4 linked regions of the Diceros bicornis minor genome follow. The main gene of each other region encodes a partner of the protein of the gene in region 2 in a complex. Links are inferred from orthologs where the notes say so. Each region holds a gene or a part of one and is shown on either strand. Other genes may lie near its edges. The genes, in order: CNOT2, CNOT6L, CNOT11 and CNOT9.

The links.
Region 1: CNOT6L (region 2) and CNOT2 share a complex: the UniProt entries of both Homo sapiens proteins name them as parts of the CCR4-NOT complex. The link is inferred for Diceros bicornis minor from reciprocal best matches to the Homo sapiens genes CNOT6L and CNOT2.
Region 3: CNOT6L (region 2) and CNOT11 share a complex: the UniProt entries of both Homo sapiens proteins name them as parts of the CCR4-NOT complex. The link is inferred for Diceros bicornis minor from reciprocal best matches to the Homo sapiens genes CNOT6L and CNOT11.
Region 4: CNOT6L (region 2) and CNOT9 share a complex: the UniProt entries of both Homo sapiens proteins name them as parts of the CCR4-NOT complex. The link is inferred for Diceros bicornis minor from reciprocal best matches to the Homo sapiens genes CNOT6L and CNOT9.

Annotation. Positions count from the first base shown.
Region 1 is NC_080756.1:1,258,934-1,266,628, reverse strand, and holds the start of CNOT2 (CCR4-NOT transcription complex subunit 2), read left to right. Parts: upstream 1-4,674; 5' UTR 4,675-4,723; coding exon 4,724-4,728; intron 4,729-7,695. UniProt on the Homo sapiens protein: Component of the CCR4-NOT complex which is one of the major cellular mRNA deadenylases and is linked to various cellular processes including bulk mRNA degradation, miRNA-mediated repression, translational repression during translational initiation and general transcription regulation.
Region 2 is NC_080747.1:63,136,317-63,143,963, reverse strand, and holds the start of CNOT6L (CCR4-NOT transcription complex subunit 6-like), read left to right. Parts: upstream 1-4,421; 5' UTR 4,422-4,439; coding exon 4,440-4,504; intron 4,505-4,955; exon of another isoform or gene 4,956-5,347; intron 5,348-5,549; exon of another isoform or gene 5,550-5,623; coding exon of another isoform or gene 5,624-5,628; intron 5,629-7,647. UniProt on the Homo sapiens protein: Has 3'-5' poly(A) exoribonuclease activity for synthetic poly(A) RNA substrate.
Region 3 is NC_080779.1:12,245,807-12,253,222, reverse strand, and holds the start of CNOT11 (CCR4-NOT transcription complex subunit 11), read left to right. Parts: upstream 1-4,186; 5' UTR 4,187-4,311; coding exon 4,312-4,834; intron 4,835-7,416. UniProt on the Homo sapiens protein: Component of the CCR4-NOT complex which is one of the major cellular mRNA deadenylases and is linked to various cellular processes including bulk mRNA degradation, miRNA-mediated repression, translational repression during translational initiation and general transcription regulation.
Region 4 is NC_080776.1:8,937,228-8,945,108, forward strand, and holds the start of CNOT9 (CCR4-NOT transcription complex subunit 9), read left to right. Parts: upstream 1-4,749; 5' UTR 4,750-5,091; coding exon 5,092-5,115; intron 5,116-7,881. UniProt on the Homo sapiens protein: Component of the CCR4-NOT complex which is one of the major cellular mRNA deadenylases and is linked to various cellular processes including bulk mRNA degradation, miRNA-mediated repression, translational repression during translational initiation and general transcription regulation.

The sequences.
Region 1 (7,695 bases), on a different chromosome or scaffold from region 2:
TGTATAATGGAACATGCCCCTCCCCCAAATGATGGCATTATTAGAGATGCCGGTCATTTTCCATCATAATAGCTCTCATTTTAGAATGGTGAATGCTTCATTTAAAGTACAGTGTGTTCTGGTTTTTCTTTTTTTAAATTTTGTTTGAGATCTTATGCTATGATTCTATGCAATTTCTAAAAATATGCATAGAAGCTGAGCCTGTGATCCACTAACAGTTTTTATTAGTTCTGTTGAATTTGTCAATAGACTGGGAAGGTGAGCTAAAGGCTTTATTCCCTTTATATTTGGGGAGATGTTAGAGTTGAACACTAGTATATTTAACCTGTTGCTGACTTTTCTTAAACTTTGGCAACTTAAGGTATCCTGGTATACGTATTAATTAGTGAAATATTTATCACCCTACTGCATAGACTTATTTGTGATCATTACTGTTTTGTTTAAATGGAACTGATATCACGTATCCTCACAGAAAATTTCCAATGCAGTTTTTGAGAACTAAATTAACTATTCGTGTTTAACCAGATAATTGACAGACGGTTTCTTTTTGAAACAAAATGCTTTTTAATTATTAATCAAGTTACTCGCTTTTTATTTATTTATTATTTTTTTTTGTGAGGAAGATCAGCCCTGAGCTAACATTGATGCTAATCCTCCTCTTTTTGCTAAGGAAGGCTGGCTTTGAGCTAACATCTATTGTCAATCCTCCTCCTTTTTTGGTCCCCAAAGCCCCAGTAGATAGTTGCATGTCATAGTTGCATATCCTTCTAGTTGCTGTATGTGTGACGCGGCCTCAGCATGGCCGGAGAAGCAGTGCTTCTGTGCACGCCCGGGATCCGAACCGGGGCCGCCAGTAGCGGATGGTGCGCACTTAACCGCTAAGCCACTGGGCCGGCCCAAGTTACTTATTTTTGATTTCAAAAGCTGCTATGTTTCTGATGTATAATGAACAAATGTGTGTAATTTTTTTGTGCCAGACTTTTGACTATTTTCAAGCACCATGAGATGGATGGTTAGAAACAATAATATTAAGGTTTCTATTTAACCCTTTCAGGACTGAACTGTATCTCTTTAAAATTCTTTTTCTTGTGTTATGATGTTTGCCATTCATATGCTTATGTTTAGCTTATTTTTTGTACCTTGAGCATACTCTACACATTCAGTCCTTAAGGGGTGTATTTTACAAACTGTGTGCTGTAAGGTTTATTAGCAATCAGATAGAAAACTGATTAAGTTTATACTATAATTTTGTAGAAAAAAACCTGCACAGCTCTGTACTTCATCCATGAACAATTTGCAATGTGGGCAGTTTCAAGGAATAAATAAAAATAAAATGTTAAAACAAAAAAGGAATGTAAAAATTTTAAGTTAAACATAAAAACAGTGAGAGCAAGAATTATTGAATAGGATGGAATCAGTTTGCAGTATGGTTTTTAGATTGTTTCTTCCAGACCCATGGTTTCCTTGCAATCTGTATACTTCATAATCTTCACTTTCTTCTGTACTGAATGTATTTTCACTTTAAGTTCTTCAGTTAAAAAGCAGGCTAACACTAAGCATTTGAATGGCTAATGCCATTACTGCTTAAGAAACACAGATAATTCTTTCATTGACCTATCATGTGTATTTATAAATTATTTTCATTCCTGTTATCAATTCAGTATTTAATTCATTTTTCCCTTTAAAACAGATTTCAGTTAATTTTTCACTGCCAGCAAAAATGTATTTGCTGATTATATGTGAGTTTTAAATTGATTTACTATTATGTACTGATTGAATCTGGTAACTTTTGGGGGAGTAATTTTACTTTTTTTTTTTTTTTTGTGAGGAAGATCAGGCCTGAGCTAATGTCCAATGCCAATCCTACTCTTTTTGCTGAGGAAGATTGGCCCTGGGCTAACATCCATGCCCATCTTCCTCTATTTTATATGGGATGCTGCCACAGCATGGCTTGACAAGCAGTGCATCGGTCCGCGCCTGGGATGCGAACCTGTAAACCCCAGGCCACTGAAGCGGAGCGCGTGCACTTAACCACTACACCACTGGGCCGGCCCATAATCTTACTTTTTAAGTGAAAGATATCTTATAATTCATACATAGGCTAGAATAATTAATGTTTTTATTAAGGAAACAGCTTAACCATGTATTTAAACATTCAACCAAGTTGATGTAGTTGAGAAAGCAGAGTTAAAAAGTATTTTGTTGGGCCGGCCCCGTGGCTTAGCGGTTAAGTGTGTGCGCTCCGCTACTGGCGGTCCGGGTTCAGATCCCAGTCGTGCGGCGCACTGCTTCTCCGGCCATGCTGAGGCCTCGTCCCACATAGAGCAACTAGAAGGATGTGCAGCTATGACATACAACTATCTACTGAGGCTTTGGGGGAAAAATAAATAAAATTAATAAAAAAAAAAGAATGTACATAAGGAAGACCTGAGGGTACTGGCTGATGAGTTGGACCCAGGGTGTGAGGAATCACAGAAGATTCCTAGTTTTCTGCCTGAGCAAGTGAATGGACTGTTGGTGGTACTGTTTATGGAAATCAGGAAGACCGTGGGAGATGTTTGGATTCAAACGTTGTTTCAGCACATTAAATTAGAGATGCCTGTCCTTTGTATCCCTTGCCATGATAAGATTTTTAGTATTGTCTACACACTTTGACAAACAGGAGGCCTCCCTTTCCTACAGCTAGTTATGAGTCAACAAACTCATTCGTCCTATTAGGTATACAAGGAATTTACCTTACACACACTTCAAAAACACACAACATCTACTCAGGTATGGACTGTTTTACAAGTAAAAGTTAGAAAATCTATCAAAGTGAATAGGTGAAAAACAAAACAAAACACCATGAACTATCTACCAAATGGGCAAATTTGATCAATACTGGCAATAAAGATGAACTTTTTGATGCAATAGGGCAATTTAAAAAATACAGCATTTAGAGTGCTTAATAGAAAGTCATAAATATAAGCCCTTAACAAATGTTAGCTCATTTAATACCTAGAACCCACCTCTAAGGCAGGTATTAAACAAATTTATATAGATTGGGCACCAGTAACAAGACAATTTAAAACTTGTTCTTTAACAAGGTCTAAAGTAAATTTATCCTAAACAAGCAGTGTCTTCAAAAAAGCAGTAGTCTCAGTGCATTCTTCTTCCTAACACTCCTACCCTACACATTTGTGGTGAAAATGTTTGTTGTTCTGTCTCTTGCAATAAAATATCAAGGTAACAAAGCCCTCAAATTAGACCCTTTGGAAGTGATTTCTCCAATTTCACCAATGTTCATGCTATTTAAAACTTGTGCTTTTTTGAGTAAATATAGTGATGGTAAGAATAAGGTCCAGCTTTTGGTCTTAACAAAGTCCTATACAGGAGTCAAACTAACAGATTAGAATGGTAATACTTGATGCTACTATATGCTTATAAGCATATCCCGTTTTTATCATTCCATCTTATGATTCCAAATATCGAGTTATACTTTCAAATTACTAATCGCTAGATATACACGCTCAGTAGTACATAGACACATGTGCATGTATTCATACACCTATACGTATTACACATACTTAGAGGCAGCGTCAGCCTTTTAACACACATCTTAACAGGGAAGAGAAAGCTCAGAGCAGGAAAGGACTGTGGGGGGCGGGGAGGAAAAGGGAGGGAAGGACATAAGGAAGTGTTGATCCTCCTTGAAGTTTCCTGAAGTAAAAAAGACAGTGAGGCACAATGTTTAACGAAATGAATAACCAGGCAAAACATTTTCTACTGGCTACATCAGCACCATTTGGAGTTTAAATAAATTCACACATCTACTAACATCTCAAAATAGCTTGCCTCCCGTAAACATGACAAAGTCACCTTTTATTTTATAGTATCCTTATTTTTCCTGCTATTTATGAGTGACGGAGGCCGTCTGCCTTTCCATGATAAATTTTAAATTGGATTACAGTGAGTTTTTAGCAGAAGTTTTATTTACTCCACACGAACTGTACTTTACATTAACAAATTCTATCACTCAAACAGAAAGGAGTAACAATGTTCACTTGATGGAACAGCACAATCCCAAGCGCACACGCGGAGGCTCCGCGTCCCAGACCGCCGGGCAGCACCCCGGGAGGCTCACCGACGCTCAGAGGAAGGAAGAGCCGTTACTCCACGGAGAGCGAGCCCACCTCCCCTGAGCGGCAGGTGCTCGTCCGGGGGCAGAGGTCGGCCTCCGCTCCCCCAGGCCCGGCGGCACCGCGGCGGGAGCGCGCCGCTGACCGGGCCCCACCGCCCGCAGGTGCACGGGGGGCGCAGGCGCCGGGCGGGGGGAGGGGGAGGAGCGCGCCGCTGACCGGGCCACACCGCCCGCAGGTGCACGGGGGGCGCAGGGGCCGGGCCGGGCCGGGGGAGGACGGCGGCCGCGGGGACGAGTCCCGCACTCCCCGCCCCGGGCCCGCCCGGAACCCGTGGTCCGCTCGCCGTGACGGCCGCGGAGGAGCCGCAAGCCTCCCGGAGCCGGCGGGGACACGACGAGGACGCGTGGGAGAGAGGCCGCCCACCCCCGGCCCCGGCCCGGCCCGGCCCGGCCCAGCCGGCCCGCCGCTCCCACCTTCCGCCGCCGCCGAAAGCGAAGCCGGACGGCGGGGGTCACGGTGGGGGTCAGAGGGTAAAGGTCCTGCTCCCAGCAGCCTCCGCGGTGGATACGTCGCCATCTTGGATCCGCGGGACAAGAAAATTCATGCGGTGAGTTTTTGGCAAATTTTCGGAAGTCTGGCAGCGGGGCGCGCGGCGGGGGCGGCGGATTCGGGGCCCCGCAAGGCGGGGGAAGGCCCCGGGGCCGGTGCGGGCGCGCCGGGTGCCCGCGTGCAGCGCCCCGGCCCGCCGCTTCCCGTTGCTTTTGTCTGGCTCCAGTCGAGAGGGCGAGCGGCGGCGGGGAGGGGGTGGCGGCGGCGGGCGGGTGCGGGGAGGGCGGGCGGCGCGGGCCGGGCGCGGCTTCGGGGTCGGCGGCCTCGGCGGCGCCGCTTCCCGGGCGGAGGAGCCTGCCGCGAGCCGGCCGGCCGGGCTGCCGCCTCCCGAGCCCGCGGCTCGCGCTCCGGCCCGGCAACTTGTGTGTGTGTGTGTGTGTGTGTGTGTGTGTGTGTGTGTGTGTGTGTGTGTGTGTGTGTGTGAGGGAGGGGGGTGCGGGGGTGCGGGTGCGGGCGGGCCCGGGAGCTCCCGTGCGCGGTGGCCGGCCCGGTCCTGGCGCCGCGGCCGGAGCGCCCGCCGGGCTCCACTTCCGCCGCGGCTGCTCCACCTTCGCGTCTCGGGTCTCGCTCAAAGTTTCGCGGAAGAAGCGAGTGGGGCTCGCAGAGGCCCGCCCGAGTCGGCCGAGGCTCTGCGGTCGGTCTCGGAGGGAGAGCCTCGCGCTCACTCCGGGTGGCTGGGCCTTGCGAAGGCGAGTTCGAGTTTCCTTTCGTAAAAGCTTTTCCAAGAGTTTGCATTTATTCCAGGCCCTGTGGGGACGGTGTTACCACCACCCAGGTCTTACATACGGGTACCACCCTCTCGGAAGGAACCTCAACATCAACTTCCTTCGAATTCTAGGGGACACCTTCACTTTTCAACATCCAGAAGGCCGAATGCAGCACATTTTGTTTCGTTTTCGTAAAAGTGGTCGAAGAATCCTACTCCTTTCTTAATCTTCTGGACGGTTTCTAGTAATTCAGTACCCTGATGTCAACCCTTAGATTCTTGGCGAAATGATAGAAAGTACTGCGTTAACAAAATCTGTTCAGAAGGAGGCCATGCTTGAATTTAGTGTTCAAAGTTGGACACATTTTTTGTCATGCTGGATATCAGGAATTTCTAGACTTCTAGAATCGTAAATGCAACTTTTGATTTGCCTTTTGAAAGAAGCTAAGTGTAAATGATCAAGTATGGGGGGATACAAATTTGAAAAGTATCTATTTACATGCTAAGTTCACGTTGGGTTGTTTGGGAATATTGGGTATATTTGAAAACAGTTGTTTCCCAAACGTCAATGCCCACATCTCTTGCAGTTTTGGAAGATACCTTTATCCTAGATTTGAAGGATTGATGAAGAATCACAGTGGACTGAAATGTTAAATGTTTACATTCTGATTCTTGTCATTGAAATATTTCTTAATGAAGTAAGAGCTTTGGTAGGTTTTTCGTGTTGAACTCCTCTTTAGTTTGTACTTCTTTTGTAATATTAAATCTAAAAGAAAAATACAAAAAACACGTAGAAAAGATAACTCTTGCTCCACTTCTTTCTTGACTTTTTAAGATCCTTGTTTAATTTTAAAAAGGTACGTTTCTCTCTCTTTTTTCCTGAGGGCTTGAATTGCAGTGACTTCTGTGAATACTTTGTATTTTAGACAGCCGTTGAGAAACTTACACACTTTTTGCATCCTAATTATTACTGCATCAATAAAAATAAATTAATGTAAGCATCATTTGTTGGCAGAACTCTTTTGTTCTAAGTATGCTGTATAGAGGTATCTGTAACCTAATCTGGTACTCTTGAGGAATGAGAATTGCCTGTATCTTTAACCAAGCAACAAATACAGCCTTTTAAAAATTTTCAGTTTCTATAATACTTTCGTTTTAAAGTAAATTTATATGGTGGAAAAACGAGGGCAAAATGCATGAGTGATTTATGTTCTCGGTCGTTTGAGAAGTACTTGATCTTGAAGATAAAATAAAACTCAGAATGATATTTCTCCCCAAGAGAACTAATTACCTATGTTTTTACTTAGTAACTTTGGAAGTTTAATTTACTTCTTGATTTTTCAGAGATATTTTACAGTTATAACCTGAAAATTCTCTTTGTTCACAAGTAAATAAAATAGTTGAGATTTATGAATAGATTTTATTAGAAGTGTTGCTAATTAGAAGTGTTTTGGTTTTTATCTCTTCAGTAGGTATTGGTATTAAAAGTACTTGAGTTTTGAAAGACTCGTACAGAATTTTTCACAGCCCGTGGGAAGTTAACAGTTTCACCAAACTTTTTGGTGACAGATTTGCTTCATAAGGTTTTCTGATGATACAGAAAAATATAGAAAAGTTATGCTTCACGTCTATATATGAAATAATGAGTAGACATTAATAGACTAGTAAAAATAATTTATTTTTTGCTCTTTAAAAGCAGTGTTAAATAGTATTTTTTTGATTGTCAAAATTTTTAACTGTAAAAAGTTCACTCTGTTATGAGTACATATTTAAAAGCAAACTTCCCATGTGCTTGCTTGAATAGGCATTTGAGGACAACTTATGCAAATAGTGATACAGTCTTGTAGGAAAAGATACTACTAAATAAGATTTTGTTTGTTACCTAGACCTCTAGTGGCTTTTATAACACAAAGAAGCAAAAGAAACCAAAGCAGCAGGTAGGGCAGTTTTAGAGGCCAAGTTCATCTGAGTTCCACTTCAGTGTTTGAATAGGATTACATACAATATTGATACCAAGGGATCTGGTGCGAAGATAGTAGTCGTTCTGGTGATGATCCTTGCTTACTAAGGATGATTTCTACCTGTGATAGTTAAAGGAATTGAATTTCATTGTGACTTTAATAGATGCTTTGAAAAGAGCTGTACTACAATTGATGTCTGTTGTAGAAAGTCTGCCTTTGAAAAGAAATAGGATGGACATTAGGGTTTTAAGGTTTTATAATTATTTTTTAATTTTTACCTTGGTTTTGTTCGTTGGGT
Region 2 (7,647 bases):
GCCTCTTAAAAGTACCGTTGGGAGGAATTAAACAGACAACACAGTAGTGTAATGAAGAGAACAACTGAACTAGGTATCTAAAGATCAGTTTCTAACACTGACTTTGCCATTGACTGCCTGGGTGATATTCAGCAAGTCACTTTGCTTTAGGTTCCTCATGTGGAAAATGAGGAAGTAAGACCAAGTGACCTACAACATTTGGTAGACTATGATTCCACCAATAATAATGTCTTATTGTAGTTTAGTTCAGTGATTTTCAAACTTATTTAGCACCAGTTAGCCTTCTTTGAAAGAATTTTCACGTGGAAATACAACGGATTAGTCAGGATGTTTTGGTTGCAAAGGTCTAACTCAAGTTAGTTTAGGTGTAGAACAGAATTTCTTAGTTAATTTAACTACACTATGTGAAAAGGTGGAGCTGGACCCCATGGATGACTGGAACCTGAGACTGGTGCACCAACAGGACTTGCTCTTTACGCTTCTCATCTCTGTGTGATGACTTCATTCTATTCAAGGCAGTATGTGGCCACTGGCCACTCTCAAGACTTCCTTCTTCCTTCCTTCCTTCTTGTCTTAGACTACTAGTACAGTGAAATAGCCCTTCTTCCCTTAGTCCCACCTGAAACATTCTCAGGACGAACTCTGCTTGCTTTGGCTTGAGGCATATGCCCACCCTTTAGCCAAGAAGTTGGGGGACTCTCTTGAGCTGCAGCTGCCATTAGAATCACCTGTTTTCAGTATTGGAAAGAATATTTTCCCCAAAGGAAAGGAGCATTGTTTGTAGAAAAAGGAAAGTTAGCAGGCAGACAATTAAATGGTCAATATGTAAAACAGATAAAACAGAGGCTTTCTAGTTGAGGTCCCACCTATCTGGTCCCCTCTGTGTACCCTAGGTGGCTTCTGAAGCATACCTTTGAAGACCTCATGAGGATCCACGGAGTAGAGCATTAAAATAATTGATTTTATTGATTGGATAGCATGCTAATTGCATAGCATGCCTCCAAGTCCTTGAAAAACTTAAGCACTAGATATTTATTGATGGTGGTGGTGCTTACCTAGTACAAAATTTCTGCAATAGGGAAGTACTAGAAAGAGTGGTGCTGATGTTGATGGGATTGGGGTGGAGATTTTGAATATTCAGGGATCAAGGGACTTGAGACAGGGAGTGTAGAAAGAGCAGGCAGGAGGGTACCAAGATGAACTCTGCCTACTTTTCATTTTACCTAGGACTAATATATATATGGCACACTATTAATAATCGTGGAAAATATTCATCTTTGGCTAAGATACTGGGATGGGTCCTTGGCGTCATCAACAGTCATTCTAGAGAAAGGAACAAAGGGGACTTTGATGGAAAGAGAGAGTTGATGGACCCAAAGAGGGGTAGAGGCAATGAGTAATGCCACCTTTCTTCGATGAATATACCCATGGTAGATGGTACCTCAAAAAACATTAGAAATAAAGTTATGAGGATAGAGAGAGAGAGAGGAAGAGTAAAAAGATGAGTAAAAGATGAGAAGATGGAGAGTAGTTCAGTAAAAGGTAGAATATATCACTGGAATATAGTTTGCAAGCCCTGTCAGTAGGTCTGGGAAGTAAAAATTCAAGATCACCTTGATTAATACTTCTTTAAAAGTTGTACTAATGAATATCAGGTAGATTACATTTAATTATCTTACTAATTATACCTTACTGAATAATTGAAATGTGACCGTTTTCTTGAAAAGTTATGTAGTTAGTATAAAGGTATGTATTGAAATCAGTAAAATGAAATTTAATTGGTTCTTTATCAAATAGTAATAATGTTCTTAAATAAAAAATTTTAAATCTTTGCCTTCTGAGCAAGCTGCTCAACAGAATTTCAGAAAACAGACAAAGAAACAGTTATAAGGGATCTAAGAGGTTCAGCTACCTGTGCTACCAACAGAAAAAACATGGAGAGATCAGATTTACTCACATCAAATATTAATTACTAATTTGGAAAAGACACAGGTAGTCGCTAGAACATCAAGTACTTTTTTTTTATTGAGAAGAAATGAACCAATTCCGTAATAATACAATAATACAAATAAACATTAAGTGTTGTTTCAGAACAAATTGTACCTACATAGTGTTACTGTTACACCAACTTGGTCAAAAAGGCTTACTTAAGCCAAAAGCTTTCACTTGGATAAATCACTTCTTAAAAGTGATATTTTCTTACTATGTTCTTATTTTTAATCTTAATTAAAAAATTGCAGTATCTGTCAAACATGAAAAATTCCCATGAAATGAGACATCAAAAGTAGGTTACTATTCTGTTGCAAACTTTGATGTACTATAAAACTGCTTTTTAAAAATCGCTTAAGTGCTACTCTTTTGTTGTTGGAATGTTTTTTGAATTGGAGTCTTATGAGGGATTTTTTTCATATCAGTGAAGATTTAATTTCTCAGCATTTGTACAGTGCCAACTATATGAAAATTATTATTTCTCTAATTTCGATCTCACTGCAAATGAGAAAAACAACAATCTATTTTTTGGATGATACAGTTATACTGGGTAATATATAAAAGTATTGCTTTCCTTTTGTTTCTAGTGAGTCAATTTATTTGCTATGGTATCAAGAGAACATCCCTAGAGTAGAGATTATTTCAACTCAACCTTCATTCAATTGATATTTTATAATAAAATCCACTCTTTTTTTTAAATTCACTATTCTTAACTCTGAATGACACAATTACAATTATTCCATGGATTGTGACGCGTTTAGTATTTAAAATTTAAAGGCCAACGATGAATATTTCCTATATAAATCTGAGTTTCAGGACCAGCAAACCCCACCATTATTAATGCTTCTTGAACATCCACAAAGGCTCCCCTCTTTCCTTACCCCAGTCACTACCGCTAGTAAGCCTGTGAGAGTGGCAGGTATCATATAGCTCAAGTGAAAATGCCAGTGCCATCAGCCTTATCCTCCTGGGCACTGTTGTGACTATTAATTTTGTGTCACCTTTCATACTTTCATTTCTGGTTTCTTCTGTGAGAATTTCCTGTTTATGTGTCTGCTTCTCCTACCACGACTGTGAGCTACTTAAAAATCGAGACTACATATGCTTATCTATCTCTGACGCTACATACAATGTCTGGAACATAAAACACCCTCCACAGACGTTTTTTTATTGTATACGAATGAATAGCTAGGAATCTATATATCTACAGGTGTTTGAAGAAGCTTAAATCTGTGAGGATTTCCCATCATCTGATTTATATTTTTCAGGTGCCTATTTCGCTCTTTTCTTCACATTTGGTAGCATTTCTCCTTGGGGAAGACTGTTTGTGTGCCAAGGAAAAACGCTGTGGCAAGATGCCACTGAGGCAGGCTTACTATTCTGGGCTCCTGAAGTGACTTGTTTGGCTTTGTACAAAGCCAAAGATAATTATTCATTATATGTCAGCCTAGGCTCAAGATAGTTGGGAATCAGTGGGACTTCTTCCAGGATGAAGACCATTTGGACACCTATTACAAAAGCTGGTATGGGGGTGGGAAACGGAAACCTAGCTGGTTGCTAGGGAGGGAGATAGAAACTTAACACAGGTGGAAAACAAAGTAGCCACGAATGTCCTGAAAGGCTTCTTCAGTCACTCACTCACAATTCCTGGTAACAAAGACGAAAGTGGTGCAGTTGTTCTTCTGCAATCGTGGGGTCTTTTAATAGCTGATCAGCTCTGGCTAAATGATGATTTGCATTTTTACCGCATCTTTTTCCCCAGGAGAGGAAGGTCTTTTACATCCGACAATAGGGTCTAAGATTAATTGCAACCAACACAACGTGCTTAGTGTGCTAAACACTACCCCTGTGGGAAAAAACTACTGAACACTACTAATAAACCCTTGACCAATACTGGTAAGTACACAAGCTCGGAGCATGCATTGAGAAAGAGATTGTGCAAAACTGCAACAGCAGCATTCTGCCTCTAGAGCTGGTATGATTTGTTTTGGGACTGCTGAAACTGACTCACAAAAACAAAATTAAACCCCAGAAACTTAAAATGTCAAGGCCACATTCACCAAGTAAATATTAATATTTCCAGTTTACATTTTGATGTTTTCACTCTGTAGCTGGCGGTTGCCAACAAACGTAATTCTATCGCGAGAAAGGAGAATTAGAAAATAAACAGGACCGGGTTATCGCATAGCGTCACGGGTTCTCTTATTTACTTTCGCGATACAACTTACACAGGCGGCACACGTTAAAAAAAAACCCACCGAAGAGGTCCGGAAACATTTCCTTCGGTTACTTCACCTCACCTGGCGTCTCGTTAGCTACCCAGACCGGCGCTCGGCTTCGCCGTCACGCGGCCTCGGGCGAGCGAGCAGTAAACAGCACCGAGTACAGGCACGAACACCGGGTGAGGCGGCTTCGCCACTCTCTCCCCTTCCCCCACCATGGCTTAGTGGATGTGGATTTCTGATACCCTACCAGCCTTCCCAGCTCTGCTCGTCACTCAAGCCACGAAAAGAGAGTAAGAAAACAGCAAGGGTAAAGGAGAAAACAGGCAAGACCCCCCCCCGGCAGCCGCGCGCGCACGCGCACCACGACCAAACGCGGCGCCAGGGGGCGGGGCCAAGGCGCGGCGCTAGAGCTCCGCCTCCTTGCCCTCACCCCACCCCTCCGCGCAGGGGAGTGAGTGACTCCCGCCAGCCCCTCCACGTCAATCAACCCTCCTCCTCGCACTCTCTGCACCTTGTTATTAATCTCAATACCGATATCGCGCGGACGCCTCTCCCCCAGCCCTCGGGGGTGTGAACGTGTGTGAGCGAGAGCAAAGGCACCGAAAGCTGGCGTCTCTGTGCAGCAGCCTCGGCCGCGGCAGCAGCAGGCGCAGCAGTAACCCCCACAGCGGCGGCAGCCCAGGCGCCAGGAGGCCAAGGCCAAGGCCAGGCTCTGCGCGGCTCTCGGAGTAATAGCCGCGGCTCCGGCGGCTGCGGGGGCGAAGCTTCCTCCGGCGGGGGCCTTCGCGTCGGCGGCCGCGGGGCCTCTCCTGCGCGCCCAGGGTCACCGTCCCCGAAGCCCGGCGGCGCGGCCCTCGTCCCCTCCCCGCCCCCCCATCCGTCTCCTTCTCGCTCCCTTCAGCCTCCCTCCTCGCCACCGCCTCTGCCGTTCCTCAGGCGGCCCGGCCCGGCCCGCCCGCCCCGCGTCCCCTCCGGCCGGTGCCTCTCCCCCCGGCGGGCTGCCTGCATGTCTTTGCTGCCCTCAGCCCCGCCGCCACCGCCGCCGCCGCCTCCCCCGCCGCCGCAACACCAGCACCAGCCGCCCCGCCGCCGCCGCCGCCGCCGCCGCCCGGACCCCGGCGCGCTGAATGCAGGTGAGGAGGGGGCGCAGGCCCTCCGCGACCCAGGCCCGGGCGCCGTACGCGCCCGCCCGCCGGAGAGCCGGGGTCCGGGCCCTTCCTGTGGCGGCGGCTTCCCTTCGGGGCGGGCGGGAGCGCGGGCCGCCCGTGGGTGTTTGTGTTTGCGTCTGCGGCGGCCGCTCGGGAGGGGAAGCATCTGTGGGGGCCTGGTGCGCGCGCGCGCGTGTTTGTGTGTGTGTTTCCCCTGCCGCGGGGAAATGGCTGCTGTCGCTCCTGGGCCGGAGGAAGAGAATGAGGTAGAGTGTGTGTGTGCCTGCGAGTAGGATCGAGAGTGTGGGGAAGAGGAGCGCGTCCCCGGGGAGATGAGGTGGGAGAGGGACAAATGTTCGTGTGGGTGCGCGAGTTGGGACTTTGGCGGGCGGAGAGGCGGCCTGAGGACCCACGGCGAGTGGGTGTGTGTCGGGTGTGGGGCTGACCCGCGCCGCGGTCGGAGGCGGCGAAGGTTCCGGGGTGTGTGTGTGTGGTGGGGGTGTCCGCGCCCAGGGCCCGGGACTCTGGGGGCGGGTTCCGTGTGTCCGGGACCCCCGAGCGGCGTGTCCCTCCCGCTCTGTAGCCGAGGCTCCGGAGCCTCGCAGGTGAGAGCTGCTCGGGGCCGGGCCGGGAGGGCGAGTGTGTGTGCGGCACACGCGCTGCGGTCGGGCCGCGCCGCCGTTCCGCGGGCTGCCGTTCCCGGAGCCGCGGCAGGAAGCGCGCCGGCCTGCAGCGCGGCCTAACCGCCTCGGCGCCCGCCCGCCTCCCGGGCCGCGCGGGCCCAGGGCGCCGCCGCCGGCCCGGGCAGGTGAGGGTCGGAGGCGGGACGCGCCGATTGCCGTCGCCCCGGCCGCCGGCTCGCCTGAGGAGAGGCGAAGGCGTAGCTCGGCGTTCGAACTGCGAGCTCTCCCCGGCCGGCGGTGGAACCCGAGGGAAAGTGAATCAAAGCAGTAAATCTCGGGGATACGCGCTGGCGGGATCCCTTCCTTAAATCCTTCCCTGACGGCTGTGTGGAGGGACTACATCCATATTTTCATTTTTCGTTGCACGTACTTTCTCCTTGGTAAGAGGTATGCTTTTTTTTTTTTTTTTTTTTTTAAGATAAAAGATTTTCTTGGAGAGGCCGGGGAAGAAATGGAAGCTGGCTTCCGTGTCCTGTGGTGTTGGTGGGATTGGATCGATTTGGGGCATTCAAAATTGTTTTATCCTGCCTCCTAGGGGGAAAGGCGTGTACGCGCCGAGCTGAGGGGGTCGGTGAGGAAGAGGAAGTTCCTGGAGCTGTCATCCTGAACTCGGCCGACTAGTTAGCCTAGGCTCTTGAGATGGGTTGTGTTCAGGAGTTGGGCTGAGCCGTTTGTCCACATTGGAAGCACAGTACTACATTTTGGGAGACACTAGCTTATTGCTTGTAGTTAGTTATCTTAATTGCCAGTCAAGATAGTCATGCATAACACAAACAAACACGTTTTCCCTCACAGTCTCCAAAACCTAGATCAAGCAGCTTCTATTGTCTACTCAGTGTGTGCTCCTGGAGAGCTATTTTGAGAGTAGTCTAAGTAAAACGCAACTGTAAAGATAAATCGGCCAGTAGGTATACAGTGCACTTCAGAACCCAATAGAAATGGTATTTGGATAATTCTGTGCTGATTTACTTGATCTACTCTTCCCTCTTCCATTCGCATCTAGTTAGCCCATCTAGAAAACCCTGTGGATCAAGTCAAGATATAGGTTCTATCTTTGGAGGCCATGCTCTGTCACGGTGGCCAGAGATTGCTTTTTTCTGAACCTGGTCTCACAAAGAAATGTTCCATGATGTTCACCGGGAAGTAGGGGGAAGAATAGGATGGGTGGAGAACTGTTTTCTGTGACCACTACTGGAAAAACAACACATGTCGTTTAGTGGAGAAAGGACTTGTTTTACAGACCTCAGAACTCTCGCTGTGCCATTTTTCTTAGCTTTTTGACCTGAGGCAAGGTATCTAATATTTATAAGCCTCTGTTTTCTTCTCTGTAACAGAGATAATACATTTGTAGTAAGGTTGTCTGAGGATAGAAGGAGAAAACAAATGTTTGGCGCATAGTAGATGCTTAGTTAAGCATTAGTTCCTTCTCCTGCAGCCTTGACTGCGGGCATTGAAAAACATAAGTATAAATACTCATTTAATTATTGAAATATTATGTAACTAAGTAAAAAATCAAGACAATAGAACATTTCACAGTCCTTTGATGTACATAAGGTATAAATAAACAACTTCTGATGTATTTTAGAAGTCTTTTTTCAGAAA
Region 3 (7,416 bases), on a different chromosome or scaffold from region 2:
CCTAAATCCAAGGACTAGTATCCTTATAAGAAGGCCACGTGAAACACAGACACACAGGTGATACTGAACCTCTTAATCTCAAGTTTGTGTGCCCAAGGCACAGAAAGCCAAACACCGAGACATTGGTGCTTGGAGACAGAGAAAGGCTCTGTTCAAGTTGGCCAAGACGAGAAGGTGGGAGCACGGGCTGTCTCAAATCTGCCTTCACCAGAGCAAAAAGCAGGGGGGTTTTATAGAGCTAAAGGGCTTGACAGGGGGAGCTTCAGAGAAACAAAGGGGTCACTCCTGATAAGCCCCTGGGCAATCTGCAAGGGCTGCTGGGGGCTGGCCATCTGGTGATCACAACTTCCCAGGAGGCGTTCTCTTTCTTCTGCAAAACAAGCTCTCAAATCCTCTCCACCCAAGTCACCCCTCAAGTTAAACAAGAAAACTGCAAATTGACAAGATTCATCTATGTCTGTGTTGGGAACAAGGTGAAAAAGCAATCATGTTCTTATTGAATATCTACAGTAACCCTCAGGTACCCAGCTCTACCAGGAAGAAGGCCATGTAACTGCAGAGGCAGAGATCGGAATGGTGCAGCTACATAAGCCAAGGGATGCCAGAGACTGCTGGCAACCATCAGAAGCTGGGAGGATACAAGGCAGGATTCTTCCCTGGAGTCTTTAGAGGGAACATGGCTCTGCTGACACCTTCATTTCTGACTTTTAGCCTCCAGAACTGTGAGATAACAAATTTCTGTTGTGTTAAGCCACCTAGTTTGTGGTTATGAAACCAGTAAACAGTTAGCCATTGATGATTAGGTAGCTAGTAACTAAAGTTTTGTTTTGTAATTACTGATTATAGCTTTTAGTTGTTCACCGGTCCATTGTTAACTGCTGTTTAGGCAATACGCTATCTGACTCCCATTAGGTTCCTATAGATAACATCTCTCTAGCACCTGGGTCACCATGGTAATGGATGTTTGAGCTGTTTTTCAGGAATTAGAACCCCTTGTCCACTTCAAGCCGGTTGAGACCACCAACCCACCAACTGGGCCTGAGCAGACGTCTGATAAGTGACCTTTTGATGTCAACAAGCTAAAAATTCCACCCTCGGATCATGCTAATGCCACCATTATGTGAACATGTATCCTATGAAGAAGCCTGAAGTTTGACTACACTTGTGCAGATCATCAATTACCTCGCCTCTCCTCACCTCCAACCATGTATCTCCACTTTTCAGACCAACTTGCCCCCATAAATATCCCTGAATCTCCGTTTTCAGGGCAGCAGATTTAAGACTTGTTCTCCCACCTCCTCACTTGGCTGCCTTGTGATTAAAACTCTCTCTCTGCTGTAATCTCGTTGTCTCGGCAATTGGTTTTCTGGGTGACAGGCAAAAATGACCTTGGTTTGGTAACAGTTACTTGTTACCAGGAAACTAATGCAAGGCCTGAGAGTTGTTTTCAGGGAACATGTAGGAAGTCTGGAAATCTTTTTTTGTTTTTTTTGAGGAAGATTGGCCCTAGGCTAACATCTGTTGCCAATCTGCCTCCTTTTTTCCCCCTTTTTTCTCCCCAAAGCCCCAGCAGATAGTTGTATGTCATAGTTGTACATCCTTCTAGTTGCTCTATGTGGAACGCTGCCTCAGCATGGCTTGACGAGCGGTAAGTAGGTCCGTGCCCAGGATCCAAACTCTCAACCCCTGGGCCACCGAAGCAGAGCTCATGAACTTAACAGCTACCTCACCAGGCCAGCCCCCAGATATCATCTTAATTTTGAAAATGCTCCTATAGGAAGAAAAGTATTTAGTTCTTTTTTGGGGGGAGGGGTAAATATAATGTTCAAATATTTTGAAACATCTTGAAAAAAAGTAAAACCTATTCATGTAGGCTAATTGCTGTAACAAACAGACCTCACAATGTAAAATGGCTCTGTTGAAAAGAAATAACAGGCCCAAAATAGAGGCACTTGTGTTAAGTACCACCAAGACTTAATACCTAACCTAAATACAGTTTCAGCCTCTCCCAGGAATGGAAATTTAAACCAACTGGTCTGGAATTTCCTGATCAACACTAGTGAGGTAATCTGCCTGATAAGGCCTCTTGCCTTCCTCTAAGGGAAGGTGATGTTCAGGCAAAATAACCAATAACCATTCTATAGATAAGAGAGACAGGGTGAGTTTTACTTGAGGCAGGGTGAGGATTATAATCTGGGAAGGCAGTTTCCAAAAAGGAAGAAAATGTTCCAGAGAAGCATGGTTTTCAGTCCAGTCTTATACCTTTTGAGAACAAAGCACATACATTAAACACACCCAAGATACATATTCACCAAAGTTTCAAAGATGTATTTAGTTGCAAATTAGCAGGTCAACATGACTCTGATGTTGGGAAATAGTCTAATACAGCTGTTACCCACACAGCGTAGGAGGAGTAGTATGCATTCTTATCTTAAGAGAATGCATTCTTGGGGCTGCCCCGTGGCCTAGTAGTTAAGTTCGGTTCGCTCCGCTTCAGGGGCCCAGTTTCTTGGGTTTGGATCACGGACATGGACCTACACCACTCATCAGCCATGCTGTGGTGGTGACCCACACACAAAATAGAGGAAGACTGGCACAGATGTTAGCTCAGGGCTAATCTTTCTCAAGCAAAAAAAAAAAAAGAGGATTGGCAACGGATGTTAGCTCAGGGCGAAAAGAGAGTGCATTCCCTAATGGTTAAGCAGATCTACAATGCATGTTTGATAGGCCAGAAGTCAGGCTTCTTTAGTTCAAGCCAAACCAGTTTTAAACCTGAATACTTACCCCATATACCTCAATATGCGAAAATCTCTTGTCAGTAACCTTGCCTGAAATGATCTACTCTTGGTCTCACCCTCATTCTGCCTATAAAAACCTTCCAGGGACCAGCCTAGTGATGCAGCTGTTAAGTGCTCTCGCTCCGCTGCTGGTGGCCCCGGTTTGGATCCCAGGAGCACACCAATACATCGCTTGTTGGGCCATGCTGTGGCAGCGTCCCACATAAAGTGGAGGAAGATGGGCACCGATGCTAGCTCCGGGCCAGTCCTCCTCAGCAAAAACAGAGGAGGATTGGCATGGATGTTAGCTCAGGGCTGATCTTTCTCATGCACACACAAAAACCTTCCATTGTTGTCCAAGTCCTTGGAGCTCCTTTCTACTTGCTAGATGGGATGCTGCCTGATTCATGACTCACTGGATAAAGCCAATTAGATCTGTAAATTTACTAGATTGAATTTTTGTACTTTAACAGTTCAAACACAAGACAGTTTTTTTACTATAGTAAACAATAAAATGAGAGTACTTTCAAGCTAATTGGCAATTTCTCTTCCTTCACTTTTACTTTAGAATTAAGGTGGCGCTTAACTAGATAATTCTTGAACTGCCACCATTGTTGAGCGCAGGGCGGAATTCCCAGGCCTGCCCTGTGGGCACGTTTCTGGAGGTCTAGCTAGGAGCTGGGCAGGTGTGGGAGACGTCACTCGGCCGTTCTCAGCCCCGAGAGCACATTAGAGTCACCTGGGAAAGGGTTTCTGTTTTTTGTTTCCTAATACCTGAGCCATCATCTCCGGGGCAGGGGCCCGGCACCAGCATTTTTAAAGGCTCCCCGGAGGGTGCCCACGCGCCGCCGACACCCAGGATCAGCGCCCCAGGGCAGGCTAAGTCAAAAGTCGCACAACAGTTTTATAAGTGAATATTTATTGGAAAAATTTCCCCGAAATCTCCTTAAAAATAACCGTGTACAAAAGCTCTCGTACAATATGACTCCATTTCCGCAAAAACGATTGTAAGACTGGGAATTAACTTGGGTTATGAGAAAGGATGGTGTCTTCAGTTATTTGCATTTAAAAATTTTTTACCATAAATAGTCATGTGCGGTACATTAAGGGAGCTATTAGAATCTAAGGTGCATTTCTCCCGACAACAATGAAGCCCGCATTTGGGACCGTTTGGTACCAGGCAGTGCCCCGGGGGCTCACGAGCCGTCCTCTTTCCCTCGCACAGGCGCAGACGCACCCCCCGCGCCCGGCTGCCACGCGGGTCTTCCTCCGCGCGCGCCCAAACCCCTGCCGGCGGCTCCCGCCCCTCCTGCAGGCCCCGCCTCCACTTCCGGCCGCTTCGCCCCGCCCACCCAGCGCCGCCGATCCTCTCCCTGGCCTCGCTCCGCGCCGTCCCTCTCTTCCGCGGCCGTCTGGCTTCCCGGCGTGTTTTGTTTGCGACGCTGTCGTGTCACAGCGCGCTTTACGGCCGCGGGGACGGCGCGAGCCGGCGGCAGGGCCACTTCGGCCGGGAAGCAGGACGGGAAGGAGTTTGATGCCCGGCGGCGGTGTGAGCGCGGCGTTTGGCCGGCTTCTCACCGCCGGGGAGCAAAGGGGGGCCCGGGAAGCGGCGGGGTCGACGTCCAGGAGCGGCCCGGGGGGCTCCGGCTCGGGCGGCGGCGGCAGAGGCGGAGCAGGCGGGCCCGGGCCGGGGAGTGGCGGCCCCGGGGGCCCGGCGGGCAGGATGAGCCTGACCCCGAAGGAGCTCTCGAGCCTGCTGAGCATCATCTCGGAGGAGGCGGGCGGCGGCAGCACCTTCGAGGGCCTGTCCACCGCCTTCCACCACTACTTCAGCAAGGCTGACCACTTCCGCCTGGGCTCGGTGCTCGTCATGCTGCTGCAGCAGCCGGACCTGCTGCCCAGCGCGGCGCAGCGCCTCACCGCGCTCTACCTGCTCTGGGAGATGTACCGCACCGAGCCGCTCGCCGCCAACCCCTTCGCCGCCAGCTTCGCGCACCTGCTCAACCCCGCCCCGCCCGCCCGCGGCGGCCAGGAGCCCGACCGGCCCCCGCTCTCAGGTACGCCGGGGGCGCGCCGCCCTGCCCCCGCCCGGTGCGCGGTGGGGAGACTTGGAGTCACCAGTTTTCCACCTGCGCTTTTGGGAATGCACCCGCAAGTGAAATTATCTCCTTTTGAAATCCGCCCCCTCGACACTACCAAGTGTGGAGAAATGGGAGCTTAACGATCAATTCATGGCACCGAAAATTATTCCTCGCAACGGTACAGACCGTGAAATCATGTAGCTCAGTGTGGGGCTTGACATTTTTAGTGCTTCAAATACAGCTCTTGCTTGTAAAGCCCGTCTGAGGTGTGTAAAATTGTAGCTGATGACACAGTGGATCTGCCCCTGCTTTTCAGTCTCAGAGGAGTAAATAGAAGTCGTTATTCAGAACCCGAAGAAGTTGTTGGACGGAAATACACATTAAATAGCGGTTAAGGACTTTGCAGCCACCTTTGTTGGGCTGCTAGGTATACTTGGATAATGTGATGGGGGCAGAGGATAGAAGGTAGTCTCGTTCACCGCTTAGATTAGAAAACGCATGACTACTGGACGTTATGTCAAATACAGCACTGGTAAGATCTGATCAGTGGGTTCCGTCCGAGGCTCCCTTTCTTTTTCTTTTGAACTCAAGCAAGAGATACTATGTGAGACGTGACTTGAGGAGAAGACTTGCAGCCAGGAGGGGAGAAAGGCACAGAGGCGATGGTGATGAGGGATAAATGTACCTAGAAGACTTAGACAAGGACCAGTGTTGTAGAGGAAGCAGGCGGAGGTGGGAAACAGCTTGATCTTACAGTACTTAACCAGTGGGTAAAAGGGCAGGTCACTCTATGGGTAGGGGCTGCTATACAAGGAGTCAAAGGTTAAGGTAGCGGATTTTGAGTTAATAGCGGAGTTTTTCGCAGCGCAGGAGGGCTTCTACATTATAAGCCGGCTGGTGTTCTGCCTGGCATCCCCTCTGGATCTAAAGCGTTTTCTCTTTGGTTTTCTGCATTGCTCTTATCAAAGGGGCAACCTTTGTGTTGGATGAGATGCCCTTAGGGTACAAGTACTGAACCTGGCTTTCAGGAAGTTTGAGAATGCCCAGAAAGGGAATGCAGCATGTGTATGAGTGGTCAAAACCTACCACCCTGGGGTGCCCTTACCAGAGGATGGGGACAGTGTGGGATTTAGGTCAGAGGACCCTTTGAATTCTGAAGGACAGGTTAGGAAAAGGACATATAATGTCGCTTTCAAATGCAAGGAGTCTATACCCAGATGTAGTCCATAGACTGCATTGTAAACACAAATTTGCCAGAGAAGGAATCCATGGATTGGTTATTTTACCTGTGTCTCAGTTTCTTCATCTGTAAAATGCAGATGATAATTCTTAGCTGGTAGAGTTATTATGAGGAATAAAAGTATCTATGATGAATGTTACCCATTATTATCATTACTTTTATTAAAGGTAGGGACAGTGCTGAAATACACAGCCAAGGGAGTATCAATGCCAAGGCTTATGATACTGTACGTGTAGGGTGAGCATATAATGGGTATATTTTTAATAAGTTTTTCAGATGATTCTAACGCAGAGCCAGAGTTGAGAATGTATCTGGAAATAAATAAGATGGCTTCTCAGCTCTCAAGAAGCTTGTGTTCTGGTTGGGGAGGCGTAAACATAGGATGCAGTGTGGTAAGGGCTGTATGTAGTAGGTGTCTCAGAATGCTTGGGAGCACAGAGGAACGTCTACCTGCATAGCTTGCGAGATTCTCAGAGGGAGTGATGTTTTTGGTGGATGTTGATTAGAGATGGGGGGTGGTTTGGGAAGGATGTGGCCCTTTATTTCTTTTATTCTGTTTTTTTTTTCTTTTTTTCTCCCCAAAGCCCCCCAGTATATAGTTGTATATCTTAGTTGTAGGTCCTTCTATGTGGGACGCTGCCTCAGCATGGCATGATGAGCGGCGAGTAGGTCCGCATCCAGGATCCGAACCGTTGAACCCTGGGCTGCCGAAGCAGAACGCGCAAACTTAACCACTGCGCCACCGGGCTGGCCCCTATTTCCTTTATTCTTAAAGAACTGGGTGTATTGGATGTTTAGAAATCAGGAATCAGAGAAGCTGAGAGATTTTGTGCAACTGGAGTGTAGGATACATGGATTGGAGGGGAGTTCAAGAGATGGGATTAGGACAGTGGGTCAGAACCAGATTATGAAGAGCCTTATAATGGTGCAGAAGTTTGGGTTTAATTCTGTGTTAACAGGTTAAGTAACATGAGCAGATTTGTACCTAGAAATATGATTAAATAGTAAGTGGGAGTCTGGACTGTGGGTCAAAACTAGGCCGGAGTCAAAACTGGGAGCTGGGGAAATCAGGAAGGCTGTCCTGTAGTTGGGGGCAGGGAGGGTGGTGCGGTTGGACATGAGGGAAGGGAGTCTGGTGGTATTGCTGCTGTTGGATGGGTGAAGCTTGTTGAGCTCCCTTGTTGACAAAAGGGAAGCAACATTCAGCACTGTGGGAATGTTTAGCTGCCCTGTGCACTGGAGCAGGTACGTGAAGTGTATTTGCATTACTGGTGATTGCTTCCTTGTCTCTTCAACTTGTACACAGTTGCTGGTAGCA
Region 4 (7,881 bases), on a different chromosome or scaffold from region 2:
TTCTGCAGCTATGCCAGTTCTCCGGAAGCCATCAACTCAGCTAAAGAAAATATAAGTGTGCCTTTTTAAAAGAATCCAATTTACAAAATTGAAATTAAAAAAAAAGAAAGTGATCATTTATACAACCAAGATTAACCCTTTGATTATTTAAAAACCACAAACTACCTTACTGAAAACATTTAAAAAATAATGCTCAAGATACACACACACACAAGATCAACAGAACCTTAAGGATATATCTGCTGTGCAAAATGAGGGACTCCAGGAGGAGCCTGCACCTTGATCAATTTGTGTCTTGGTTTATTTATCCCTGCTACATTTTGAAACTAAGAAGGCAGTGAAAAAGAGTATATCCTTTGTTGACTTTATAAACATTGTTATATAATGATGTCTCAAATCTTAAAATACCACTACTATGATGTGCTGGTACAAATTTCAAAAGGTGGGTAAACTTCATTTTTACTTTTCTTTTAAAACTAATTTTATGGGTTTGTTTCTCAAATTTAGGCCTCTCTAAGCCTCAACTTTCCCTGAAGTTTGACCCAAACATCTCTCACTGCCTTCTTCAATGCTATAACATCAACTTTACATTTATTTGTTCACTCAGTAAAAAATCATTTACTGAGCTACTCCAATTTGATGGCACTGTGATAGGGACAAATGCAAAGATGATACAGTCCATGCCCTCATTAAGAGACTCCCCAGACTTCCTTGGATTTGTCGTTCCACAGTCATTCAGGCAAAAATCTTAGCATCAGCTTTAATTTCATTCTCATTTATCTAAAACCCAATCTTTTCATGGCTACTACCCTAATTCAGAAACTCTTCACTTTGTCATCACTCCCATCTAATATTTATTACACAACATTTACTAAGCACAGTACTAAGGGCCATACATGCATTATCTCATTTAATTTTCAAAATAATCCTAAAGGACAGGATAATAGGATAATCCATTTTACAGACGAAGAAACTGAGGCTTATAGAGATTAAGTAATTTACCCATGGTTACAGAGTCAGTAAGAGACAAAATTAAGTCTAACACTAGAGCCCATGTTTTTAAACACTACCATATTGCATCCTCATCAATGATTTGCAGTAATCACTTTCCAGTCTCCATTCTCTCAGGATTTTTCCATCCAATGAATCCTTTGCCCTACAATATCCTTTCTAAAGAACTTTATCTCTTACTAACTAAAGTATGCACTACTTGTCTCCTTAGCTTTCTCCCTAGAGTGGAAGGGTGGGGGGGCTGTCTTATCTTCTTTTGTACTCCAACAAAATAACAGGCACTTAGTAAGTGCTAAATATTTGCCAATGATGCTAACTCTCTCCCAAACATTTTTAAGATTTTTAATTTATTGTGGTAAGAATACTTAACATGAGATCCACTCTCTTAACAAACTTTTAAGTGTACAATACAGTACTGTTAACTATAGGTACAATGTTACACAGCTTATCTCTAGAACTTATTCATCTTGCTTAACAGAAACTTTCTCCCAAACATTTTTAACAGCTCATTGCTACCTATAAAATAAATCCAAACAACTATGTTTGGCATTCATACACCTATTTTTTATTTTCTATTTCTCAACACAAATCCTGTTCTACACACAAATTATTAAATTTTAACATTTTCTTCCACATCCACCACCAACAACTTACTTAAATATGGAATTTTTCTTTATTTTTGGAAATCTTATCCTGACTGGTCTCACAGTTTAACCTGTTGTTAAAATATATAAACCACTGCTCTGATTCCTAAGGGCTTTCTTTCCTAACAAGATCCATAAAACAAGTGCGCAAAGAGATTAAATTAGTGTTGTGGCTGAGAGTAAAGAAGAAGTTGACCTAGATAAAGTTTATCTCCAATTCAAAGAGTCTAAAATATGAATGATTTTATGATATAAGAATGGGTAAAATCATCCAGAGCTGGAAAACTGTTTTTTTTCTTTTGCATCCTTGAATTTGTCTGCAGGGTGAAAAGGTGTGTGTCATGGGATGACAAGATTATCAGTAAGCTGGTGCTTCCAAAAGACATGATGGTTCTCACAGCAAGTGCCAGTTTACTTATTCATTTGACAAATTCTTGAGAAATAGAAATGAAATAGTTACATATTATATATTGGAGAAAGACTTTAAATAATCACACAAGTAAATATATAATTACAAGTTCTGAAAAATGACATAAAGTTCAGGGCATGATGAAAGATTATAACAGGGTAGAGGGGGTAGAGGTTAGAGAGCATCAAGAGAAGGCTTCTCTGAGGAAGTATCACTTAAGCTGAAAATTAAAGAATGAGTTAATTGGGGGATGGCTGTGCTGGAACAATCTAGGCAAACAGAACAGCATGTGCAAAGGCCCTGTGATGGAAAATAACTCGGTGTGACAAAGGAAACTAAAAGCAGTGAGGCTGGAGTTTAGTGAGGAAGAGGAGGATGGTGCAAGATGAAGCTAGTGAAGCAGGAAAGAATCAAGTTACACAGAATCTTCTAGACCATAGTAAGGATTCTGAATTTTACCCTAGATGTAATAAATACCTAGTGATAGGAAATCCAATGAAAGGTTTTAAGCAGAGAAATGACATGTTACTGCTGAATGGAGAAGTGATGTGGTTTGTTTGGGTTTGGGGAAGAGAGTGAAAAGAGTAAGAATGGAAGAAAACAGGGCAACCAGAGAGGAGAGTATTGACCTGACTCAGCCTATAACAACAATTACAATTACAATTACTGCTTACTGGCTATTTACTGTGTGCCATGTGCTTACCATGGCTATCTCATTTAATCCTCATAACAATGCAATAAGGTGATTATTATTCCCATTTTACAGATGAGAATACAGGGAACCAGTGACATCAAGTCCAGGTAAAACAGGATTGTGGCTTGAACTAGAAAGGTAATACTGAAGATGCACAGAAATAGATCCAAGACATATATCGGAAATAGAATAAACAGAACTTGAAGAAGGTATGGATACATGGGATGAGGGAGAAGTCACGAATGGTTTCCAAGTTTCTAGCCTATGTAAGTGGATAAATGGACAAACTGGGATACTGGAGGAGAAAGAATTTGGGTATGGAAAGATTAAGACTTTGGTTTTACACTTGTTATATTTGAAATTCCTAAGAAAAAATCAAGTTGAGATGTCAAGCAGACAGGTGGGTATTTTGATCTTGAGCTGAAAACAAAAGGAACAAGCTGGAAATAAAAATTCTTAAGTCATCAATATACAGATGGAATTTAAAGCTTAGGGTGGAAGGGAAGAGTAAAAGGAGAACAGGGCCTCGGACAGAAGCTAGATAGTCCTTTTTTCCCCATCAAACGTCTCTTGCTATGGTCATCGGTTACTTGGATGTCATCGGGCTTTTCAGTCCCCTTCAACTTTACCTTTCAGCAGAATTCAACACTATTGATGACTTCTTTTGTCTCTTTCACCCCTCTACCCAGTTATTAACTGCCAAGAATCCCTCAGTGCTCCATCCATCCTAGGTCCCCTTCTTTTTTAGAACTATACTCTTTTTAGGCAATTTCATCCACATCCACAGCTTCAACTACTATCAACACAGCGATAAGATGTATACATTTATCTATCTATCCAACCCAGAACTCTGCTGAGCTCAGACCCAGTACATCCAACCGCCTACTTGACATCGTCTTAGATATCTCTTCCAGTTAGAGACCTGTCAGATACTGCCACCCCAAAAAAGGCGTTTACACAAAGCCCAAATTTTGAAAGGATGACCACAAAACCACTACAGGCCAACTTTCCAGAACAGGATTTTGTCATCAGTTATCGTTTCCTTTCGTGGACCGTGACCTAAAATAGGTAAACCTGACAACCTGATGGCTAGAGATGGGGAGCAACCAAAGGCAGGACAAAAAACACCCTTCGTGCCTTTTAGCGAGAGATGGTTAGGTGAGGAAAGAAGGGAAAGAACGGTCAAGAGAGTGAAAGAGTATCACGTCCAAGGCCTGATGGACGTGCGGCAACGGAAGTCACCTGAAGACACAGCAGGCCTCGCTAAGGGGCGAGTGGCGGACGACGACAGCCCCCCGCGAGCAGGCGCCGGGTTCGGTTTGCGGAGGGAGCGAGGGACAGCAGAGACCAGGTCCAAGGAGAGAGAAATCCCGGGGGAAGACCCAAGCGGAGTACCTGTGAGGCCAGGGGAGCGTCGAGGGGCTGGGGGCGGGCTGAGCGGCACCGGGCGAACTCTGGAGGAGTGAACGCCGAGTGGGCGGACCGCACGGGGCGGGGGGGGTCTTGGGGAAAACGGCTCAGTTGAGAAGCTCGCCGGGCCCGCCTTACCTGTGCCTGCGAGTCCGGAGCCCCGGACAGGCCCGCCGGAAGCACGGAGTCCGCGCGGAGGGGGAGGAGCCCGGGGTAACGAAGGAATGGACACCGGGCACCAAGGAGTGGGGCCGCTCGCTCCCTCCCAGTCAGGGAGAGCGGCTGATGGCGGGAACTGTGACCACACGCAAACACGCACGCACGCACGCACGCACACTCGACGCGACCACACGGGGCGCGTGCGCGCAAGCCTGCAAACTCCGCCCCTCCCACGCCCTCGCCCCGCCCCAGCACCTAGCGTAGTCTCGCCGAGGCAGCCCCGCCCCTGCCCTGATGTAGTACGCATGCGCACTTTCCACTTCGCTGCCTTGGGGCCTCCCACCGTTTCCCTCATGCTCAGCCCAGTCGGGCATGCGCACTACTTGCCCTCCTGGGACTGCCTGGCTTTTCCCGCCCTTCACTGGCCTCCGGAGGAGGGTCAGAGTTCACGTCCCTCTCTTGGGATACCAGCTCGAAGCTGGGGGATGCGAGGACTAGTGGGTGGCGGACGTCCTTCCGGTCCTGAATCTTAAGGGGCAAAGGACACACGCTGGGACTATTAACTCAGCCGAGAGCTAGGAGGCGGGAAGAGGTTGTGTGGGCGGGGTCAAGGGTGAAAGGTCAGAGGGCTGCGAAGGGGGCGGAGCGAGCCGGAGGCGGATGGCGGCTGCGGCGGCTCATCGTCTTTGGCGGCAGAGGCGCTGAAGCGGGGACGCGGGTCGGGCGCGTCCGGCAGTGGGAGGAGAGCGGCGGCCGCTCCCAACATGCACAGCCTGGCGACGGCTGCGGTGAGTGGCCGGGCCGCCCGGCCTCGGCCCAGAACCCCTCCTCGGCCCTGCTTTCCGGCCTTCTCTCCTCGCTCCCTGCGTCGGGCTCGGAGTCGGGCTCCTCCTGCCCTCCTTGCGCGAGGCCCCGGCCCCTCGTTGCCGCGCTGGGCTGCGTGGGACCCGGCCCCCACGTTCCTCACCGGCCGGCGCTCGCGGCCTCTGGCGCCGCGTATCGCCTTCTCTCCCGGCCCGGGGCCTGGTCCGGCGCCCGGAGCGCCTTTTCGCGGCCCGGACAGGCCATTCATTGATTCACTACGCTGACCGACAGTTTCGGCCTGCCGGTTTCGTGCTGGGCGTGGGCAGGGATGAGGGGAATGCCGTGGTCCCTCTGCCACGGCCGCGCTCGGGACGCACTGCCTAGGCGCATCGCAGCGGGAAAGAAATGGCTACTAGCTCAGACCGCTTGCGTTATAGATGGAAAAGCTGAGACCCGGAGAAGTGAATAATTATTACGTCTGACTTATGGTTCTACTGCGCTTACAACCTTTTTTCACACGTCTCATTTTACCAGCGCGATCTTTTATCAAGAAAAACGGATCGTGTAACTCACCTGTTTAAAGTCATCTTATGGCTTCTCTTTGCATGTAGATAAAATCCAGACTCCTTGCCATGGCCTACAAGGCGCTGCTTGTAGGATGTGGTCCTTACCCATGTTTAGTCTCATGTCATTTGCTCCGTAGGCTCTGGCTACAGGGACCGCCGTGCCATCCCTTCTGCCTGCACTTTTGCATTCCAGGGTGCACTTTCTGATCTCTATTTCTGGAATGCTCTTCTTACTCTCCCCGCCCCCCCCTTACTTACTTACACACAGACACACACAGCATGTGGATGTAACTGGCTCCTCTTCCCTCAAGTCTCAGCCTAAAAATCTCCCTAGAGTGGCCTTCCTCGACCACCCTATTTAAAGTAGTTTTGTAACCCCCAGCTTTTCTCTGTTAGAGTACTGTTTACAGCATTGATCCCAGTTTGTAATTTTTGTATTCTTTTATCTGTCTGTTGTCTGTCTCCCTCTTGATCCACGGGGATCATGTGGGTCCTGTTTATATGGTTACCCCAGTGCCAGGACAGTTCCTGGCACAAAGGAGGGGCTCAAATACTTTGCTGAATGAAGGGGTATAGATGAGGGAGGTCACTCCTGAGAGCACATAGCTGTAATGGGAAAACACGATCATATGATTTGAGGATACTCTTCTGAATGCTCATCCTAATTTTTCTGTTTTACTAAGGTGATGTGACTTAAGGAGAGAGTAGTATACTGAAATTGCATTACCAGGGAAAAGGACATACTAAATAGAAGACCAAAAAATTGCCTTAACTTTAAATATATAAAGTGAAAAAGAGAGCTGAGCATGACTAGGTTATAGAAAGCATTGTCATTTCCCAGGCCTGTGGCATCTCTGTGTCCTATCACCATGTTTCTAAGTGTTTGTAACTCTTCAAAGTGGAGAGGTACTTTTTATATCTCTCAATTAGGTAATTGCAATTTCCCCAGCTTTTTTATTTCTTCTAAGTAATACATGTAATTTGAGAAGAAGCAAGTCAGAAGATATGGTTGCTGCTCCTAGGGGAGTGGCAGGTTAAACAAAGGATTCTTCTAAGGTTGGCTTGTCCATCTTTCAAAATCTGATTGTCTTCTCCAGACTTTGATATCAAGCTGCTCCTTTCCCTCTGCCTCCGCAATCTCTCTACCTAGTCAATTCCCTTTATTTTCAATTGCTCCCTAATGCATCTTTGGAACAGCCGTTAAAGCTGTGGTTCATTACTTATAAGAAGTACTGGATACATGTTTTCTTCAATTAAATTTACAATGCTTTACATTTATTTAAAGTTTGAGCTTTTAGATATGCTGTTTGGACCACACAGAAACTCTGACAAGTTGCTTTGCACCACTTATTTACTAGAATATCTGGTTAGTGAGGAGACTGAAGCATAGAGAAGTTGAGCGACCTCTTTCCCAATCCTTCACGCCTTCCATTAGACGAAACTGTCTGTGTTATTCTGATCTGGGTAAAGGAACTGTAATGGTGTATATCACTCACAAGAAATTGAGAAGAGTTAATAATACATGCAGCAGTGCCTGCAATAATCTAAGCCACTTGAGAAAATGCTCACTTTCTGCCTAATGATGAAAATTTTTGTTTGTGTATACCTTTATCTCTTTTTAAGAATAACATCACTTCAGCTAGGGAGATAGTCTATCAAAGGACAACGTGATCACATGTGAATGCAGGATGTATTCACTAGAGGGAGGAAGTTTCTTAAATTTTGACTCCTGAGTAGTAGTTTATTACGCTAGAAATGTATAATATAGTAGACTCTTGTCATTCTTTACAGAATACATCCTAACATCATCATTGTTGCCACCATAGAATATAATTTCGTTCTCACATCTATTAAATAGGGACAGAGACACCACACAGGATTATTCTAAAAATTAAATAAGAATAACAAAGTGCTCAGTGGTTGGCTAGGTTCACTCATTGGTTAAATGACTTGCTCCCAGACTTCAGCCGTGGGATGCTAACTCCTGCCTCAGCAAAATAACAAATCACTTTGTTGTGGACCTTGGAGGTTGCTTCAGATTAACAGAGCTGCAAATCTTCACGTACCGTGGGTCTTCTGTAATGAATGTTATGCTGGTGATCTAAAAGAGCCAAAGGTAAACCTTTAGGAGATGCATGGGGTATGCGTTTTCTCTTTAATTTCCCCACTAACTTCCACTGGCAA